2 linked regions of the Kluyveromyces lactis genome follow. The protein of the gene in region 2 binds, or shares a complex with, the protein of the main gene of each other region. Links are inferred from orthologs where the notes say so. Each region holds a gene or a part of one and is shown on either strand. Other genes may lie near its edges.

The links.
Region 1: MRPS9 (region 2) and RSM27 share a complex: the UniProt entries of both Saccharomyces cerevisiae proteins name them as parts of the mitochondrial small ribosomal subunit. The link is inferred for Kluyveromyces lactis from reciprocal best matches to the Saccharomyces cerevisiae genes MRPS9 and RSM27.

Annotation. Positions count from the first base shown.
Region 1 is NC_006041.1:1,440,349-1,442,671, forward strand, and holds RSM27 (mitochondrial 37S ribosomal protein mS33), read right to left. Parts: upstream 876-2,323; coding exon 549-875; downstream 1-548. Other genes in the region: GPI1 (phosphatidylinositol N-acetylglucosaminyltransferase), read left to right, coding at 1-334; KLLA0_E16149g (uncharacterized protein), read left to right, coding at 1,038-1,202; RPS0A (40S ribosomal protein uS2), read right to left, coding at 1,436-2,110. UniProt on the Saccharomyces cerevisiae protein: Component of the mitochondrial ribosome (mitoribosome), a dedicated translation machinery responsible for the synthesis of mitochondrial genome-encoded proteins, including at least some of the essential transmembrane subunits of the mitochondrial respiratory chain.
Region 2 is NC_006042.1:1,963,190-1,966,109, forward strand, and holds MRPS9 (mitochondrial 37S ribosomal protein uS9m), read left to right. Parts: upstream 1-1,440; coding exon 1,441-2,334; downstream 2,335-2,920. Other genes in the region: KLLA0_F21010g (zinc-dependent alcohol dehydrogenase), read left to right, coding at 1-814; MHF1 (Mhf1p), read right to left, coding at 2,434-2,751. UniProt on the Saccharomyces cerevisiae protein: Component of the mitochondrial ribosome (mitoribosome), a dedicated translation machinery responsible for the synthesis of mitochondrial genome-encoded proteins, including at least some of the essential transmembrane subunits of the mitochondrial respiratory chain.

The sequences.
Region 1 (2,323 bases), on a different chromosome or scaffold from region 2:
CCATTTCCCTTTATTTGCATTGCTTTTACGGATAAAAGATGCTAAAAGGTTACCTGGTGGTATCAAGTTCAAAGTATATGATGATCACTTATTAATATCGAATAATCCAATCAGCTTTTTCATGACCTTTGAACCATTCACAAACGTCATGAAATCCATTCAAAGACAGATGTTCTCGGTTGAGACTTTGAAGATGGTGAGTCAGGGATCAGTTCTTAATGTACGAAGAGATGAACTCTATCGTGTTTTGTACCATAATCTACCGAGACATCCAATTGATATCGATTTACTATGGAAAAAGTTAAAGATGGTAATGGAACAAGATACGATATAAACCCCTCTCACAACCACAATTAATGGCACAGATTGCATAGTTTGAATCTTACTTGAATATTCGTATTTAATAAAAACATAGTTGAAATTCGTTAAATTCTTGGGTCTATTTGAACTGACTGATATAATTTATATACAAGGTATTTTTATATGATGGAAATGTTAATTGCAAGTCCCTTTAAGTGGGATAAAAGGATAGGCTGGGCTCATTTTGATCACTTTCTCTTCTTGGTCTTTTTACCGTCACCAGAGGCCTCTCTCTTCTTAGTTGGAGCACCCTTACCTCTACGCTTTCTTAGTTCAAGCATAGTCAATCTATATTGTTCTTCTTCATCAACGAAGTTCATGCCTGGATATAGTTTCTTCAATTGCTTGAATCTGATAAAATCTGGGTTACCATAATAATTCGCAATAGCAGGTCCTTTAAGCCTCTGTGCTAGGATCTTAGACCCAGTTCTGGCATTTGTTGGATTGAAATTTTGATCAAAAACTTTGGCTGATATCTCAGCAAGCTTCAGTAGCCTAGATTTGGGTACAGACATTTCTCAAAATATGAAAATATGAGTGATAACTGATGGAACAACCCGCAAACTAGTTCGCTGAGAGTTAAAGCACACCTAAGACCTATTTATTGGTACTTTCACTTACTACTTCTGCAGCAGGTTTCTATTTTATGCAAGCTCAGTTTTTTTTCGAATGTTCCAATGTTCAAATTTTCATTATCAGGAAATTATCACCATGATGAGGATAAGAGCGATGAGAGATGCGAGAAGGGTCACATTGCCATACTGGGTACTGAAGCACCATTGAAGGGGAAATATTCAGTTGGCACGTTCAATCAATTAAATAATATTCAATTCTTTGTATAATTATCGGGTACTAGCCTGGATCAATAATGATATTAAAATTATACACGATGTGGAGTTTTAAAAACTAGTAAAAATAGTTAAAAATATGAGCGGATGGTTGAGAGTTGTTGCATGAAGCTATAATAATAACAATGATAGTATGCTAAGCATTGAATCTATATTATAGAATGATGAATTAAACAAAAAAAAAGGTGGAATAACTTCCAGGAATTCAGTTAAAGAATTCTTGAAGTTTAGTTCCATTCTTCTTCTTGAGCTTGACCTTCTTCAGCCCATTCAGCAGCTTCGGTTTGTTCTTCAGTAGCGTCAACGGCTTCTTCAGTTTGTTCACCGGAAGCAACAGCTTCTTCTTCAGCAGTTTGTTGTTCGATTTCTTCTGGGTTTCTGTAGAAGTACAAATCTGGCATGATAGCCCATGGTTGAGTTCTGTCTGGTAGAGCACCTCTCAATCTTAGGACTTCTCTAGCCAACAAGTACCAGATCAAACCGATGGAGTGCTTACCTCTGTTGTTACATGGGATAGCAACATCAACGTATTCGGATGGGGAGTCCAAATCGGTCAAAGCGATGACTGGGATGTTAACGTAAGAAGATTCCTTGATAGCTTGAGCATCGGATCTTGGGTCAGTAACGATAACCAATCTTGGTTCCTTGAAAGATCTGGTGATGTAGTTAGTGAAAGAACCTGGGGTAAATCTACCAGCAATTGGAGTAGCACCGGTGTGAGCAGCGTACTTCAAGACAGCTCTTTGACCATAAGTTCTGGAAGAGATAGCAACAACATCTTCTGGGTTTGGAATGGCAGCAATGATTCTGGCAGCCAAAACAATCTTTTCCCAGGTCTTACCAACGTTGATAACGTTGACACCATCTGGTCTAGCCTTGTAGACGTATGGTTCTTGGTGAACCTGTTAATAATTAAAAAATAACCATGCAAACGTTTCGTTCGCAAAAGTTAAAAATATATTGTTAGTAAAGAGAGAGCTTTTTCCCAACCGCAACATGCGACAGGATACACTTTTCGAAGTGCAGATATTACCATATGATAGAGGAGATGTTCGTGTACTTTTTTATTATTATTTTAGTTCCCTAGAAATGGCAGGCCATTTCAATTGTTGTTC
Region 2 (2,920 bases):
AAACGTCAAGGGCTGGAAGATTGGTGACTTCGCTGGTATCAAATGGTTGAACGGTTCTTGTATGTCCTGTGAATACTGTGAATTGTCCAACGAATCCAACTGTCCAGAAGCTGACTTGTCCGGTTACACTCACGACGGTTCTTTCCAACAATACGCTACTGCTGATGCCGTTCAAGCTGCCAAGATCCCAGTCGGTACTGACTTGGCTGAAGTTGCTCCAGTGCTATGTGCTGGTGTCACCGTTTACAAGGCCCTAAAATCCGCCAACTTGAAGGCCGGTGACTGGGTCGCCATCTCTGGTGCTGCTGGTGGTCTAGGTTCTCTAGCTGTCCAATACGCCAAGGCCATGGGTTACAGAGTGTTGGGTATCGATGCTGGTGAAGAAAAGGCTAAGTTGTTCAAGGACTTGGGTGGTGAATACTTCATTGATTTCACCAAGTCCAAGAACATCCCAGAAGAAGTCATCGAAGCTACCAAGGGTGGTGCTCACGGTGTCATCAACGTCTCTGTCTCCGAATTCGCTATCGAACAATCTACCAACTACGTCAGATCTAACGGTACCGTCGTATTGGTCGGTCTACCAAGAGACGCCAAGTGTAAGTCCGATGTCTTTAACCAAGTTGTGAAGTCCATCTCCATTGTCGGTTCTTACGTCGGTAACAGAGCTGACACCAGAGAAGCCATTGACTTCTTCTCCAGAGGTCTAGTCAAGGCTCCAATCCACGTCGTTGGTTTGTCCGAACTACCATCCATCTACGAAAAGATGGAAAAGGGTGCTATCGTCGGTAGATACGTCGTCGACACTTCAAAATAATGAAATCTCTTCCGCATTCAAGTCATGACTTTTTTCACCTTTTATATGTTTCCCTCCTCTCTCCGTTTATATAAAACATATCTGATCATTACTTCCCACTTATTCCGCCTGGTGTAGTGCTACTAGATCAATCCAACTTTATAATAAATCATTTTATAGACCTTCAAAATGAGACACGATATAATACTTTAATTCTTTAGCTCTTTTATAATAATTCTTACCACCCAAAAAAAAGGGAACTAATAACACCATTATACCATTACAGTACACATTGCGACCATCACCCTTAAGGTGAATACATCTGACCCCTAAAACAACTGGTACGTTCCAACTAGCTGACCTCTTAAGTACATCGACAATGTTCGCTTCGACCATCACACTGTACGAGTTGAAGTTCCATGTCTAACTCTGTATACATTGTCACTGGGAGCGAGCCAGACACGGATCTGCATTTCTAGATTGAAAAACTGAGAAAGTGAAAAATTTGGAAAGCTCAACCAGAGGTAGAGATAGAGATAGAGACAGACATAAATTAAGCTGAGCAGTCTTTATCTTAGTCGCCTGAGGTCTTTCGTGAGCAGTTTCCACAGGGATAGAAGGGGAGACTAAAACCAAAGATCAGAAAAATGTTCTCACGTTTAACTGGTGTCTCTTTGAGACAGGGTCTTACGGTACAGAAAAGACTATTCTCTTATGCCAGGCCATTGTTTAACAGCTCGGGGTCTGAGAGGACCGGTTCTGGTTCAAGGCAGTACAATGATGGCGCCCGTGCTGGTGCAGAATATGGTTACACAGGGACTAGAATTGTGCCTAAGTTGTCTACTTTTTACTCCGCCAACCCACATCACGAAGCTCATATCGATAACTTAGAAGCGTTGTTGAGGAAATATATCAAATATCCTACCGTCCAAGTGGAAGAAAGGCCTTCCTGGTTGAGTTTGCAAGAGTACGCTCTAATAGGTGGTGGGTCCCGTTTGAAATCTACCCAGTATAAGCAGCTTTTGTTCATGTTGAACCGTTTGAATTCTATTGATCCACAGTTGGTTACCGATGAGATTTCGAACACTTTAGCGAAATACCATAAGAAGACGAAGTTGCAACCTCAAAGAGATACTTTGAAGCAATTAGACGAGTTTGGTAGAAGTTTGGCCATCGGAAGAAGAAAGACCTCTACTGCCAAGGTATATGTGGTTCGTGGTGAAGGTAAGATCTTAGTTAACGACCGTCAATTAAACGATTACTTCGTTAAAATGAAGGACAGAGAATCCGTAATGTATCCATTAAAAGCCATTGACAGTGTTGGCAAATATAACGTCTTTGCAATGGTTTCCGGAGGTGGTATTACGGGGCAAGCCGATGCCTTGATGCATGCAATCGGTAAGGCATTGGTTGCTTTCAACCCACTATTGAAAACTAGATTGCATAGATCCGGTGTCTTGACAAGAGATTACAGACACGTCGAAAGAAAGAAGCCTGGTAAGAGAAAGGCAAGAAAGATGCCTACCTGGGTTAAGCGTTGATCTGATATTAGTCTCTGACCTTTCCATTAAAAAAAACACATGCTTGTTTCACAAGTCCTGTACATATATAGCAATTTTACATAATTTAACAAGCTCCTTTCACCTTTTACTCTGTCGTCCTACGTTAGCATCTCGTAGTTCCATTAGTCGTAGTTTCAAAAAATCTTGTAGATCCTTGTTCTTCCTTGTTCGTAGTAACATATCTTCAGACGTAACAACATTTCTGTTAGCATGTTGGGCAAAAGCTTCCAAATCACCACCAACCTCACATATCTGCTGGTAAACCAGTTCAGTAAGAGTGTTGACATATTTTGAATTGTATTTTACATCTTCTGGTAGTTCTCTTTTGATAATCGATTCCACATAGAACCACAGCTTCCCGCGTAACTGGGATCGTAATCTCTTCTCTTCATCCATATTTGATCAACTGAACGACGCTACCATGAATAGAGCCCACAGGACAATGCCAAGTCAGGAATTGCCAGCTCAAAACTCTAAACGAACTGCTCAATCGATTGTAATCTTGTATATCTTGCATATCTTGGATATCTCCGCATTCCCAATGCATATCAATTATATTCATGTT